Ovis aries: one gene and its partner. The protein of the gene in region 2 interacts with the protein of the main gene of each other region in a biochemical or structural test. Links are inferred from orthologs where the notes say so. Each region holds a gene or a part of one and is shown on either strand. Other genes may lie near its edges.

Region 1 (7,754 bases), on a different chromosome or scaffold from region 2:
TGGGTGGTGGGCTGGTTTCTCAGGATACTTCGGATTCCTCCCTCTGCCCACTCCCTCACTTGGGGTGCTGGTTTCTGGTATCAGTCCTCCTCTTTAGCTCCACCTTTCCCATCCTGTGGACCCAGCTCCCACGCCCTGCCCCAGATGCTTCAGATTGACGTATCGGTCTTCTGGCTCCCAAGAAGTCAGTCCAGGTTCACTCTCCCCAAGTCCACAACCCAGGCAACCCCTCCTTGAACCTCTGCGCTATGCCCCTGCCCTGGGCCGGCAGGGTCCTTCTCCAGGCCCAACTCTCCAGAAGGAAGTGGCCCATCAGCGCCACTCGCCCAGGCCTACTAGCGGGGACTCGCCCAGGCCTACTCTTCATTCGCGCGGTTGTGAGCCTCTTGCGTCCGACCCCGCCTCCGCCTGGGAAAGCCCTCTCACACGGTCTTCCTCGTGCCTTCCTCTCTCCAGCCGACCTGACCTTGGATCCTGGCACCGCACACCGCCGCCTGCTCGTCTCTGAGGACCGCCGTAGCGTCCGACTGGCCCCACCGGGGACACCGGCGCCCCCCGACTGCCCGGCGCGCTTCGATCAGCTTCCAGCGGTGCTGGGGGCGCAAGGCTTCGGGGCTGGCCGCCACTGCTGGGAGGTGGAGACCGCCGACACCGCCTCCCTCGGAGACTCTTCCGGAGACGATGAGGACGACGGGGAGAGCCTCTACGCCCTGGGCGCGGCCGGGGAGTCGGTGCGCCGCAAGGGCCGAGTAGGGCTGTGCCCCGCGGGCGCCGTGTGGGCCGTGGAGGGCCGCGGCGGCCGGCTGTGGGCCCTCACCGCCCCGGAGCCCACCCCTCTGGGCGGCGCCAGGCCCCCGCCGCGGCGCATCCGCGTGGACTTGGACTGGGAGCGGGGCCGCGTGGCCTTCTACGACGGCCGCTCCCTCGACTTGCTTTTCGCCTTCCAGGCGCCCGGTCCCCTCGGGGAGCGCGTCTTCCCGCTGCTGTGCACCCGGGACGCCCGCGCCCAGCTTCGCATCGTGCCCGCGGAAGGCTGAGAAGCTAGCCCACAATCCCCGTTCTGGCCTGGCCCAAATGAGCACGGACATCCGTACTCATTCCAGGGATCCTCCCCACGCCCACTGGGCAAATGTATTGAGAAGCACCCCGGACCTCCCTCCATATTCTCCAAATAGGACCTCAACTGGCCTTGTTTCCACATCCATGCCCAAAGCGGAGTTCTTGAACCTCCTTCCCTCCATCTCGGGATGCTCCTCCCCCTCGGTTATCTCAGTACTTCCCCCAGGGATCCCTCCCCTTCTATATTTCCCAGGCTTGGTTGGGGAACAGGTCCTGCCCCATCAGTACTGGTAAATGGCTCATTTTTAATACACAGAGGGCCAGCTGGTCAAATATTTACCTCCCACCCCTGCCCCTCCTCCTGGCAAAGAAGAGCACGGTGCCCTCTCCACAGCTCTGAGGTTTGGGCTTCCCTGCCTCCTCCACTCTAAGGTTTCTCTTCAAGACAAAGGAGACCTTCCTCCCCTAAAACAAGAGGCTTAACTCAGCCGGGGGCCTTAGGGCTCTCTTTTTTTTGGAGATACGGGGGCAGGACAGTTCTATTTCACCCTGACGACCTTCCATGCTTACAGCCATTTCCTGTTAAGAATCTTAACCAACAACCCGCTCCCCCACCAGCCCCACAGCCAGCTCCATATGAGCATGGTACATACTCATAACACGGAACCAATGGTGCTACCTCTCCTTTTCTCAACCTGGGAATGGCCCAGACACCCCAAATTTGCCCTTGTGTATATAGCCTCACTTTTTTCCCCATATGTATAAATGGGTCCATATTTAACACATTTTGTGATGTTGGGTTATTTATTTTGTGCATTTGTGGCAATAAATGAGATCTCAGTGGTGGTATGGATTTGACTGATCTCTGCAACCGTGCACAGCAAAAGGCCTGGAAAACGATATCCAGATCCCAATAAGGGGTGGGGAGGGCTGGGAGGGCTGGACGTCTGGGCTGGGAGAGACATCAAGGCCTTGGAAGGAAGGGGTGAGATTGCATCTCTTGGCTCCCTCCCTTTTCCATCCTCTCCCAGGGACCCAGGCCCCCGGGGCCGGGTTGGATCTGTCTCCTAAGTTGGAAGACCAAAGGCTGAGGAGATAGTGGGCTCTAAGTGACTAGTCTTGGAGCCAGTTTTGTCAGAAACCCTAGTCACATGAGAACAGTGAGGAGAGGACATGCCCATTTCTTTTTTCCATTTCTCATTAAAGGTGAAAATGACAAAGACCTCCCTCTCTCCTAACTCCTCTTAAGGGCTTGGGGGAAGTGGGCAGGAGAGGAGAGAAAGGGCTAGGAGCCCTGAGGTCTTACAAAAGACCTCACATCCCACAGGCAACGACTAACAGTTAGGATGACATAAATACATTAGTGGAAGAGCTCTAAAGCCAGGATTAACAAGCATAGCTGGAGCAAGATTGCCTGGAATCTGACTAGGACCCTGGCAGTGAAAGCTGGGGCTGCTGGAAACCCAATTTAGCTGTTTGGAACTCAAGTAGAGAGTGCAAGGGGCCAAGATAACTGGATCCCAGGACAGGCAGTTTGGCAGTGAGAACAAAGGAAAAAGATTGGGATCAAGATGCCTGGATCCCTGGAGAGAGGAGGCTGGGTATTGTAAGGAGAAATGAGGGCTGGGGGAACCCAGAAGCCTGGGTTCTGGAATAGCAGCAAGTCAGAATTCCAGGATCTCTGTCCACCTTCCTCTCCCTCTTCCCTCTGTCAGGCAGAGGAGAGGAGAGGAGGGGGCTGGAGAAGGGATCAAATCGTGGGTTTAGTCCCCGAGTAGCCACATGAGTACATTCAGGGCCAGACAGACACAGGAATGGTGGGGGAGCGAGGAATTTAGTGCTGCATTGGCCCTGGAGGGGGCTGGGAGGGGTCAGGAGGCTGGGGAGGGGTGGTGGGGCTTGGTCCCGGGGTTGCATGACGCCGTCCTTTGCGGTGGCCCCGCACACAGTGTGTATGACCACAGCCCTCCTCTTCCTCGTCATCACTCTCCGTGGAGCTCTCGCCAAAGGCCCGAGGTTTCTCATAAATACAGCAGCCTGGATTTGGATGGAGGAGCCCAGTGAAAAAGGAAGAAGAGTTCAGATGTAGCGTCAGTTCCATTCCCACTGGATCTCAGTCAAAACTCCTATTTCCTACTATCTTCTTCTACCTTCCAGATCCAGCTTTCCCAGGCCTACGCTCTGGGACTCTGTCACCCACCCACCTTGCCTTTCCAGGCAGGAATCCAAAGCTCCTCTTCTCCCACCTCAGATACCTCTTGACTTTAGGCCTTGGCACATCGAAATTCAAGCCCCTCCCTACCTCTTTCCCTCTAACTTTAACCTCCTCTCCTTGATACCAGAGAACCACCAAGGCAGCCACAGGACTGTGAGCATCTGGGGGCTTCGGGAAGGCCAGTGAATGCCAGAAGACAAAAGATATGCTGAGGGGAGCCAGGATTCCAGTGTTACTGTGGAGCAACAATTACTCACATTTTGATGAGCGGCGGCCCATGTGTTCATTGTCCACAGTGTCACTCGTCCATTCCACCTTTTTCTCTGGCTTCCGTTTCCGAAGTTTGATGGTTAGGCTCCGGTTCTCCTGGAAGGTTAAGAAGGATAGGCATACCTAGCTAGTCCCCTCCTACTAACTCTTCCCGTTTCCTCCCTGAGGCCTCCTTTCTTCCCTTCCCCAGTTCAATCAGGATCACAAACACAGCAACAGAGGAGCTGAGGCTGGGAGAAGATAAAACAGAACAGGTTTTTGACCTCAAGGAGTCCCTTGAGGAATTCTGTTCTTAGTAACCACTAGTATACAGAGAAGATACAATTCCTAACCTAGGGAAAGTCCCAGCAAATCTTCAAAGGAAAATATAATCCTTGCTGTTCCTCCGTCTTCTTCCCCAAATTATCCTTGGTGGTGTTAATACATGGAAATTATTTTCTCAATCACCAATCCCTAAACTTTGATCTCCCTTTCTTTTCCCAGAACGCCTGTTCTTTTTCCCATTAAAGAAATGACTATTCTCACATCTTTCATCCTCAAGCCCAGCCCTCCCAACCTGTTATCCACCTATTCTCCAGCATCCTGGCATCTCTAGTAACTATTACTCTAAACTCCCTTAATCAAAGGGTTATTAAGCCCGACAGGAACATCTCCCTTTGAAAGCAATGTTTTTGCAAAAATGTTGTTTTTCTCTACATGTCTAATTTTTCAAAATACTCCCATAATCTCCCTTTTCTTGTTCCCTCATTCCCTCTGCTTCCGTTTGCAATAATCCCTTCAAGAAATATTTATTGATAAGCATGCTTAGTGTCAAGTTTCTCTACAGCGAGTTTCCAACCATGCTTTCTCACACAACCCTTCATTTCCCCCAGCACATCCCTTGCTCATTAATCGCGAAGTTCCCGGTCTTTCAGTACTTACAGACACCACCATCCCAAGCAGTATCACCTACATCTTAACTCTATTGCATGTCACTTGACCAGCCTTCTGCACCAACTCTGACACACCAAAAAATCCCTAACACTCTGCGATTCCCCCACACCCACTTCCTCCCATATCCCTAGGCCCAGCCCATCCAGCAACTCTCCAAAGCTTTATCCCTTCCCTCCCGGTATCTCCCAGACCCCTGAACAGCACCGCCCCCAGCCTTTCTCACGGGCTCGGTTGTCACGGTAACCGTTGTCTCAGTGACGGTCTCACTCAGCCCGGCCCCTGCCTCCGCCATGGCTAAGGCTGAGAAGAGAGAGAAGCGGAGGAAAGGGGATGAGGCACCCTTCTGTCTTTTCTGTGTCTCTGAGGTCTAAGAGAATCGGTATCGATTCAGATTAGCAGCCAGGATCCTCCACCTTCTTTTTTCCCCCTCCTCCTGGGCCTCCGCTGCCCCACCCCTGGGGATAACCTGTCCAACCCCACTTCCGGCTCCCTACTTCCGGGTGTGACGCGTTCTGTGGTCCCCCTTTTCCCTTCCTGGCACTAAATGCGTCAAAGCGCCGGGTCGCCGGATTAGTTCCGCCGTAATGGGACAGTGCGCAGGCGCCGCAAGGAGGCGACACAACTTTGGCGGAAGAGGCGTCACTTTGGTACGGGAGCAGCAGGCGGGGCGAGCAATGACTGCATGGTCTTGCAACGCAGAGACTGAGCAGGAATCCGCGGTGGAGGTTAGAACTGGGCCTGTTCCTGAAGGCTGGGTACTGCACCCGGTTCAGACGTCCCGTAGCTGAGTCCATTCCATTGCGTGTGTGTGTGGGAGGGCGGAAAAAAATAAGGGGCAATAGTAATGATCCTACCACAGCCTAACTTCGTTTCCTTATTGTTTTGTCTGGGAATTAGGCAGTCGGGACCTGGGAGCAGCTGGAAACACACTTGATTAAGACTTTTAATCCTCCCTCTTGCCCATAGGGGTTGGAGCAGGGCGCTTAATACACCTTCAATATGGATTCTTTCCTGTCACTGGCGCATGAAACACTCAGAGTCTGCGTTTTAGCTCCAAGTCTACAACAACTAATGGGGAAGGCTGGAAAAAATACTAACAAAAATATAAGACATTAGAATATTAACATAGATGTAAGACTCATTTTACATCTATGAAATTAAAAGACGCTTACTCCTTGGAAGAAAAGTTATGACCAACATAGATAGTATGTTCAAAAGCAGAGACATTACTTTGCCTACTAAGGTCCGTCTAGTCAAGGCTATGGTTTTTCCTGTGGTCATGTATGGATGTGAGAGTTGGACTGTGAAGAAGGCTGAGCGCTGAAGAACTGATGCTTTTGAACTGTGATGTTGGAGAAGACTCTTGAGAGTCCCTTGGACTGCAAGGAGATCCAACCAGTCCATTCTGAAGGAGATCAGCCCTGGGATTTCTTTGGAAGGACTGATGCTAAAGCTGAAACTCCAGTACTTTGGCCACCTCATGGGAAGAGATGACTCATTGGAAAAGACTCTGATGCTGGGAGGGATTGGGGGCAGGAGGAGAAGGGGAAGACAGAGGATGAGATGGCTGGATGGCATCACTGACTCGATGGACGTGAGTCTGAGTGAGCTCCGGGAGATGGTGATGGACAGGGAGGCCTGGCATGCTGTGACTCATGGGGTTGCAACGAGTCGGACACGATTGAGCAACTGAACTCAACTGAAGACTCACCTGTGAAACTGAGTTTAGTCACATACTGCCTACACTTGCTCTGGGGTGGAGATGAGAAAGATTAAACACAGAAATGGTCATCAGTTCAGTTCAGTCACTCAGTTGAGTCCAGCTCTTTGCAGTCCCATGAATTGCAGCACACCAGGCTTCTCTGTCCATCACCAACTCCCAGAGCTTACTCAGACTCATGTCCATCGAGGTGGTGATACCATCCAACCATCTCATCCTCTGTCATCCCCTTCTCTTGCCTTCAATCTTTCCCAGCATCAGGGTCTTTTTAAATGAGTCAGTTCTTCTCATGAGGTGGCCAAAGCATTGGAGTTTCCGCTTCAGCATCAGTCCTTCCAATGAACATTCAGGACTGATTTCATTTAGGATGGACTGGTTGGATCTCCTTGCTGTCCAAGGGACTCTCAAGAGTCTTCTCCAACACCACAGTTCAAAAGCATCAATTCTTTGGCACTCAGCTTTCTTCACAGTCCAACTCTCACATCCATACATGACTAATGGAAAAGCCATAGCTTTGACTAAATGGACCTTTGTTGACAAAGTAATGTCTCTGCTTTTTAATAAGCTGTCGAGTTTGGTCATAACTTTTCTTCCAAGGAGCAAGCGTCTTTTAATTTCATGGGGCAGTCACTATCTGCAGTGATTTTGGAGCCCCCCAAAATAGTCTGTCACTGTTTACCTATCTATTTGCCATGAAGTGATGGGACCAGATGCCATGATCTTAGTTTTCTGAATGTTGAGTTTTAAGCCAACTTTTTCACTCTCCTCTTTCATTTTCATCGAGAAGCTCTTTAGTTCCTCTTCACTTTCTGCCATAAGGGTGGTGTCATCTGCATATCTGAGATTATTTATATTTCTGCTAGCAATCTTGATTCCAGCCTGTGCTTCATCCAGCCCAGTATTTCTCATGATGTACTCTGCATATAAGTTTTAAGCAGGGTGACAATATACAGCCTTGATATACTCCTTTCTCAATTTTGAACCATGTGTTGTTCCATGTCCAGTTCTAACTGTTGCTTCTTAACTTGCATACAGATTTCTCAGGAGGCAGGTCAGGTGGTCTGGTATTCCCATCTCTTTAAGAATTTTCCAGTTTGTTGTGATCCACACAGTCAAAGGCTTTGGCGTAGCCAATAAAGCAGATGTTTTTTTTCTGGAGCTCTATTGCTTTTTTGATGATCCAGTGGATGTTGGCTCCTTGATCTCTGGTTTCTCTGCCTTTTCTAAATCCAGCTTGAACATCTGGAAGATCATAAATTACAATATAAGCCAGTTTGTAAGATAAAAATAAGTATATGTTTCTCAAGGAGCAAAAGAGTGGTAAAGAACAGGCAAGCAGACGAATGAGTTTTTTAGGTAAAGAAAGCAGCGTATAAAGTACTTGTATGTACTGAAGAAAATGCATTCCTATATTTGCAGAGTACATTGTGAGAAACGCTGGGCTGGAAGAAGCACAAGCTGGAATCAAGTTTGCCAGGAGAAATATCAATAACCTCAGATATGCAGATGACACCACCCTTATGGCAGAAAGTGAAGAGGAACTAAAAAGCCTCTTGA
Region 2 (7,600 bases):
TATAGCATCATACGGCATAAATTCATTAGCTAATTAATATTATTTGACATAGCAAATGACACCATATCTGAAGAGAAAATAAACTGATGTACTGGTTAAAACCAATAGAAAATGACAGAAAAATCTCAGTCAAATAAAGAGATAAAAATATATGCATTGTGAAATAATTATGCACTGTTAATTATCAGGACAGATTTCCATGAGCTAAACAACTAAATTATGCAATATTTCAATCACACAGAGAGAATAAAGTATGTAAGCACAGGTAATTTTTTCTCTAGAGCTGGAAATGTGATGAATGTGTGAGAAGAACCTGAAACTGTGGATAAGAATATCAACAACACAGCAAAAGATTCAAAGTACTGGAACTCCCAGTCTTAGAGAGACAACTGCCAGAAGGTATAATGTTATTGTTTACTCGCTCAGTCCTGTTCTTTGTGACCTGGTGGACCTTAGCCTGCAAGGCTCCTCTGTCCATGGGATTTTCCAGGCAAGAATACTGCAGTGGGCTGCCATGCCCACCTCCAGGGGATCTTACCAACCCAGGGACTGAACCAGCATCTCCTATACAGGCGGGCAGATTCTTTACCCCTGAGTCACCTGGGAAGCCCAGAAGGTATAATACAGACTTAAATCTAGAAGAGCGACATCAGCATCACCTGGGGGCCTTTTAAAACTGCAGGTGCTCAAACCCTGCCCTGGACCAAAAGAATCAGAAACTCAGGGTGGGGCTCAGGAATCTGCTTGAGCAAACCGTTCAGGTGACTCTGATGCACGTCAAAACTGAGAACCAAGGATAAGGGACACTGACACCAAGAGGATGAAAGTCCCAGACAGTCTTACTCTTTTCTCACTGACGGAACTCTCTTCTCTGCCCCATCCAAAGCCTATTCCAAACCCTGGTAAGTACTTAAGTTAGCCCCAATTTTTCCCCAACTCCAACCTATATGGAAACAAAGAAATAAAAACAGAAATCTTTCTCTTTTGATATGTATCATTCTGGAGGAAATCTGGAACAGAGTGTACCTAATCTGTTAACTCCATGTGTGTGGATAGAGGGAAGGGCATGACAAGAGACAAAGGGCTCTGAGGACGTTCAGAACTACTAACGAACACTGAGGTCTTGGGGCTGAGTACTGTCACTTTGTCATTACTTTGCCAACAAAGATCTGAATAGTCAAAGCTATGGTTTTTCCAGTAGTCACGTATGAATGTGAGAGCTGGACCATAAAGAAGGCTGAGCGCCAAAGAACTGATGCTTTTGAACTGTGGTGCTGGAGAAGATTCTTGAGAGTCCCTTGGACTACAAGGAGATCAAGCCAGTTAATCCTAAAGGAAATCAACCCTGAATACTCATTGGAAGAACTGATGCTGAAGCTGAAATTCCAACACTTTGACCACCTGATGCAAAGAGCCAACTCATTGGAAAAGACCCTGATGCTGGGAAAGATGGAAGGCAGGAAGAGAAGGGGACAACAGAAGATGAGATGGTTGGATGGCACGACCAACTCGATGCACATGAGCTTGAGCAAGCTCCAGGAGTTGGTGAAGGACAGGGAAGCCTGGCGTGCTGTGGTCCATGGAGTCACAGAGTTGGACACAAATGAGTGATTCAACAACAAGTGCCACTTAAGAGCTTCCCAGGTGGTGCAGAGGAAAGGAACCCACCTACCAGTGCAGGAGATAGAAGAGACGCGAGTTAGATCCCTGGGTAGGGAAGATCCCCTGCAGTAGGAAATGGCAACCCACTCCCAGTATTCTTGCCTGGAGAATCCCATGGACAGAGAAGCCTGGCGGGCTGCAGTCTATGGGGTTACAAAGAGTTGAACACGACTGAGTACCTACACACTGTCACTAACACTCCTGTCCCAAACTTCCCCCTTTAATGTTTCCAATTCTGGAGGAGGAAGGGAGATAAAATCTACTCTTAATGTGGGACCCACAGGAAATTTCTGCTTTTAGAGTCAGAGGCTCACTGCGCTGGGAGGCTTTTGGGGGCCGACCATCCATCTTTCCTGGTGTGGTAAATGAGGAAATCTCTCCTAATTTAGAGGCTGACAAACCCTACACTGCACGGCAGCTGAGAAATAGGCACTAAGCAGTACTTCTGCTTGTTCCAATTAGTAACACACCACCTTTCTCTCCTCAATAATACTGTGAAAGACTCTTCGAGCAAGTTGTCAGGAAATTAAGAAGTATCTACTGAAAACTGAACTAACTGGGTAATGCTTAAAATAAGCACAGCTAGATTAAACAATAAAAAGATAATCCAAAAATATTCACTATCCAAGAAACCAGCTGGGGAGAACATTATCCAATTCTTTTAAACCTTTGATACACACTATTTCTTCATATGTCATTACTTTGGTTCTTTTGTTCTGGGGTTTCTTTGCATATTCTTCACATTCTTATTAAATTCTAAAATAAACATTATCAATACTTAATGTATTTGGAATGCCAAATCACATTCATAAAAAAAAATCAGTTATCTACCTACCGAAAAGTAGATAGGACACTGGAAAAAAAGAGTTTATTTTCTAATTGATGGTGGAAAGGAAGGCATTCTCAAAACTAGCGATATCTACAACATTTCCAACAATTAATCATATCAATCCAGTGGACTCAGTCTAAATTTGACAAGTATGAGGTGATCATTAACCAAGCTATTCTCATTTTTCACATAAGAAGAAATAGATTTAAATTAGACAAAGGATATTAGGTCACATAGTTTTAACTTAATAGCATTAGATGGACTAACCAGTGAAAGTTACAGTATTTTTCTCCTTTAAGGGAAAAAGAACCAAGTATTTAGTAAGCAAGTCTGAGCCAGGGTAATACTGGACTGAAGAGGCACTTTATAGACATTCCTTTATTTCATCCTTGACACCTGTGATCAACAATCCTGAGTTTATGAATAAAGACACAGGATCCGAGAGGTTAGGACATTTCTCCTACACTCAGGTAACTACTAAGCACCAAGGTCAAGAAGCAAGCTGAAGTTGTTCTGACCAGGAACACCATTTTCCCCCAAGGGCACATGCTGCGTCTTAGTGATGCTGGCCTTCAATAGACAAGATCAGGGAGATGAAACCTTCCTACTCCTGGATTCTGTTTACCACTACTAAATTGAGTCATAAATACTGCAAATGTTTTATCAATACACTGAGTTCGTTTCCTAAGCTGACACTGATTACTCCATTCTCCAAATTCATCACTGTATGCACTGCTTATCCTGGCACTCAATCATCCTCCATCTTTAAAGTGTTAGGTTAAATACATGTGTATCTTATTTAGGTAAACAATGGGTAGAAATGCCTTTCACGCTTCTAGGCCCTTCCACGGTGTTCCAGCACCAACTGTGGATTTGATGTACTATTTATCTCTGCATTCCCAGAGCTTAGTAGTATATTACAGGGCAGGTGGTCAACATACATTCGTTTAAAGAAGCAGAATGAAGGTGTGACAATAAAGAATTATAATAGACCTTTTCTACCAAGCCTTGTAGATGGAGTGACATTCATGTTTAATTATAGTCCCCATAGGCATCTGGGGTTTCCCAGGTGGCTCAGTGGTAAAAAAATCCACTTGCCAATGAAGGAGATGGTGGTTCGATCCCTGGGTTGGGAAGATCCCCTGGAGAAGGAAATGGCAATCCACTCCAGTATTCTTGCCTGGAGAATCCCATGGACAGAGGAGCCTGGCGGGCTACAGTCCATGGGGTCGCAAACCGCGACTGAGCACACAGAGATCTTTACTGTTTGAATTTTATCAATCATCTTACAAAGGGACAGTTAAAAAAAACACCCTGAAATGAGTAGCCTGAAGCACCTGGCAGAGCAAGACTCGGGGCGCTGGTATCGAGGCCATTAATGTCAATGTCCTGTAACATTACAAAGTTTTACATCCCCGTTTCTTAGATGCAATGTTTTCTACCCTATAGCAGTTACGACCAGGGTGCGAGCCGACCAGGGTGCGAGCCGTAGGATGAAATACCTTTTTAGTTCACTTTGAAAGGGAAAATCTCTGATTAAAAAGGAACCATTTTTACATTTAAATAAGCCAGAAACAGCATCCGAGAGAAACAAGACCAAACCGTTACATTTAAATAAGCCAGAAACAGCATCCGAGAGAAACAAGACCAAACCGGCTTCCCTGTGACTCGACTTCCCCACGGCCACCTCAGAGTTTCCTTCTGCAGAAGTCTGACCGGAGCGTCAACCAGTGAAGCATTCAACTGACCCTTCAAAGAAGCCATTCGGAATCAACAGATGCTTCTTAAACGGCAAGAGGGGTGGAGGGGAAACGCCGCCGGGACACCTGAGAGCGCGGGGCGCCGACACTCGTTTCTCCCGACGCCCCTGCCCGGCGTGCTGCCCGGGGGAGACCCACGGAGTCCGAGTTCGGTCCCCGGGCGGGTCTGAGGAAGCTCGACCGCGACCGGAACGGCCCCACACATTCCCCAGCCGCACCGCCCGCCGCACCTGCAAGTCCCGCGCGCTTGGGGGCCGCGGCCCCGCCGCCCTCGGCGCCTCCTCGCCCGCCTCTCCGCCGCCGCCCTCCGCCATCTTTCACCGCTCCCGGCGCCGCCGCCGACGCGCCTCCCGCGACTTCCGGGGCCGGTTGCCTGGCAACGGCGGGGCGGGGCGGTCCCTGTGAGCCCCCGCCTCCCCCGCCCCCCCGCGCGCCCCTCTTCCGGCACCCGCCCACCTGTCCGGTACTGCTCCTTTCCTTAAAGGAAGTTGGCTCAGAGTTTTCCCTTCTGAGAAGGGCAGCACGGACTTGCGGATTTCTTTACCCAGTGGTGGCAATGACTTCTGGAGAGTTCATCTGATGGAAAGTGCCACCTTACTTTTCCAATCTCGGTCATATTCTCTCGTTTCCCTGCCAAGGATTGGGTGGCGCGTCGTCCCCAAAGCGTGAAGTGTTGTTGAGAAAGAACCCCGTAAACTCTCTTTGCGATTGAGCTGCTGCTGCTGCTGCTAAGTCGCGTCAGTCGTGTCCGACTCTGTGCGACCCCATAGACCGCAGCCAACCAGGCTCCCCCGTCCCTGGGATTCTCCGGGCAAGAACACGAGTGGGTTGCCATTTCCTTCTCCAGTGCATGAAAGTGAAAAGTGAAACTCAAGTCACTCAGTCTTGTCCGACTCTTCGCGACCCCATGGACTGCAGCCCACCAGGCTCCTCCGCCCATGGGATTTTCCAGGCAAGAGTACTGGAAGGGGGTGCCATTGCCTTCTCCGGCGATTACAGCTAGAGACTCCTAAATTCTCTTTATTCATCTGTTATTTGTTCAAACTCCTGTCTTATCACAGGTTTTTTCTATGACCCCAGACACAAAAGTGAAAAGGAAGTAGTCCTGGTCATTATAAACCTCACAGTCTAGCGGAGGAAAAGAGATATAAACAGAGTAAATGCCATTTGCAGTGAAACTTTGCAGGAAATGTTAGGAGTGGAATATGGGTGTGAAGCGAAATATTCTGTTCGCACCTGCTGCGTACACCGTGCTGGGTGCGTTCTTTGTGTTCTCTTGTCTACTGCTCTAGGTGAGTATTGTTATTCCGTGTTATACCCGAGGAAAACTGATGACAAGTAACCACTAAATTCACCCTGTTGTGAATGGTGGTAGCGGATAAGCCTTGCATTTGTTGGTTATCCCAATGTTCTTTTTAGTACAATATTTGTTGTTCAGCCGCTCTGTCGTGTCGCACTCTGCAACCCCACGGACTGCAGTATGCCAGGCTTCCCTGTCCTTGACTGTCTCCAGGAGTTTGCTCAAACTCATGTCCGTTGAGTCGGTGATGCCATCCAACCATCTCGTCCAACATCTTGTCCAATAAGTACAACCGTCTTTTTCAATTAGTACAACATTCTGCCCTAGAAATCCCTGGATCTTCCTTATATCCCATAAAGCCAATGGCATTTTGCCCCAGTCTTGAAGGATAAGTGCTCCTGATAAACTTTGAACCTAAAAGGACCACAGGGAAAGACATGGGTTTGAAATACCATGTTCATGCTGGTAAAATACCACATGGCTGAACCTTAGGAGAAATGATAAAAGATGGTTGGGGTTGGAGCATGTGATTGCCATCTAGTCTGGAGATGCAGGACAGGTGCTGAGGGGTCTCGCCTTAGTGAAAAGATCAAATATTATGCACTGGGCCAATGATTCTCAAGGCTCATGCACAGAGAATTCCCCTCCCATTCGCAATGCAGGAACTCAGATTTAGTTAGTATGGGAGCCCAGTCAGGCATATTTTTTAAGATGCTCCCCATGTGGACTTTGTCTCTGGCCATGACAGTGTTCCTGATACTGGATTTGCCTTCCCCTCCCAACAATGAAAACACTAGACAAAATAAATGAAACGATTATTTTCAGACACCGAACTACAGGCAGTACAGATCTGTGCTGTGCCAGAGAAGGGAAACAAGCGAGATGAGCTATGTTTGTCCTGGCTTTCTGCCTGGAACTCTCCTACAATGCTGGTGAAATGGAGAATGGTGCAGCTACTTTGGAAAATAGTTTCTTCTAAAGTTAAGTATTCACTTATCTTAAGACCCAGCATTGACCCTCCCAAGTATTGACCCAAGAGGAATGAAAACATATGTTGATGAAAATATTTGTATCTAAATATTCATAGAAGCTTTACTCATAATAGCTCCAAACTGGAAACTATCCAAATGTCCATCAACAAATGAACGAATAACATTTTGAGAAATTTCATAGCACAGACTACTACTCAACAGTAAAAAGGAAGAAATTACTGATTCACACACCATAACTGAATCTCAAAGCCATGATCTTGAGTAAAAGAAGTCAGATGCAAAAAAGTAAATATTGTCTAGTTCAATGTGTATGAGATTCTAGAGCAGGGAAAACTTATCTTTACTGATGGAAAGCTGGCAGTAAATTGCTTGGGGCCAACTCTTTGGGAAATGATAAACTTGGGGAATTTGACCGACAAAGGATATGTGGGAACTATTTGTGGTGATGAAAATGTTTTATATCTTTATTGGTAGTGATAGTTACATACATGTGTGTGTATTTGTCAAAAACATATTGAACTATATACTTAAAATGAGTGTAATTTATTATATGTAAATCATACATTTATACAATTGGTTGAACCCCACACCCCAGATGATTCTGTTGCACAGCCATGGTTAAGAACCACTGGTCTTAGGCAATTGGGAGCCATTAAGTGATTTGTGATTTAAAAAGATAACAGATGCCTCAGTGTGCAAGATGAGTAAGAATCACAAAATTAGCATGTTATTACAAGAGTGAGGGATGAGCAAGATTAAAGAACATTATTTTTTTGGCTATGTAGCTTAGCTCCCTGATCAGGGAACTAAGATCACACAAGCTACACAGCCAAATCTTTGAGTTGAAAAGGAGAGGCAGACTTCAAAAGAAAGAAACAAGTTTGTTATGGACACGTTATGGCTTTGTTTTGCTTTGTTTTCTTCTAGTTTTATTGAGATATGACTGACACCTAGTGCTGTGTAACTTTAAGGGGTATAGCATAATGATTTGACTTATGTACATCATGGAATGTTTACCCCAGTAGGTTTAGTGAACATCTATCAAATTGCATAGATA

The links. The genes of interacting proteins can lie anywhere in the genome.
Region 1: the proteins of UBXN2B (region 2) and PPP1R11 form a complex in vitro, tested with the Homo sapiens proteins (2 studies listed by BioGRID). The link is inferred for Ovis aries from reciprocal best matches to the Homo sapiens genes UBXN2B and PPP1R11.

What each region holds. Positions count from the first base shown.
Region 1 is NC_056073.1:27,940,573-27,948,326, forward strand, and holds PPP1R11 (E3 ubiquitin-protein ligase PPP1R11), read right to left. Parts: upstream 4,980-7,754; 5' UTR 4,770-4,979; coding exon 4,701-4,769; intron 4,673-4,700; exon of another isoform or gene 4,478-4,672; coding exon of another isoform or gene 4,466-4,477; intron 3,641-4,465; coding exon 3,532-3,640; intron 3,097-3,531; coding exon 2,894-3,096; 3' UTR 1,845-2,893; downstream 1-1,844. Other genes in the region: RNF39 (RING finger protein 39), read left to right, coding at 457-1,037. UniProt on the Homo sapiens protein: Atypical E3 ubiquitin-protein ligase which ubiquitinates TLR2 at 'Lys-754' leading to its degradation by the proteasome.
Region 2 is NC_056062.1:37,584,953-37,592,552, reverse strand, and holds the start of UBXN2B (UBX domain-containing protein 2B), read right to left. Parts: upstream 4,589-7,600; 5' UTR 4,566-4,588; coding exon 4,482-4,565; intron 1-4,481. UniProt on the Homo sapiens protein: Adapter protein required for Golgi and endoplasmic reticulum biogenesis. Involved in Golgi and endoplasmic reticulum maintenance during interphase and in their reassembly at the end of mitosis.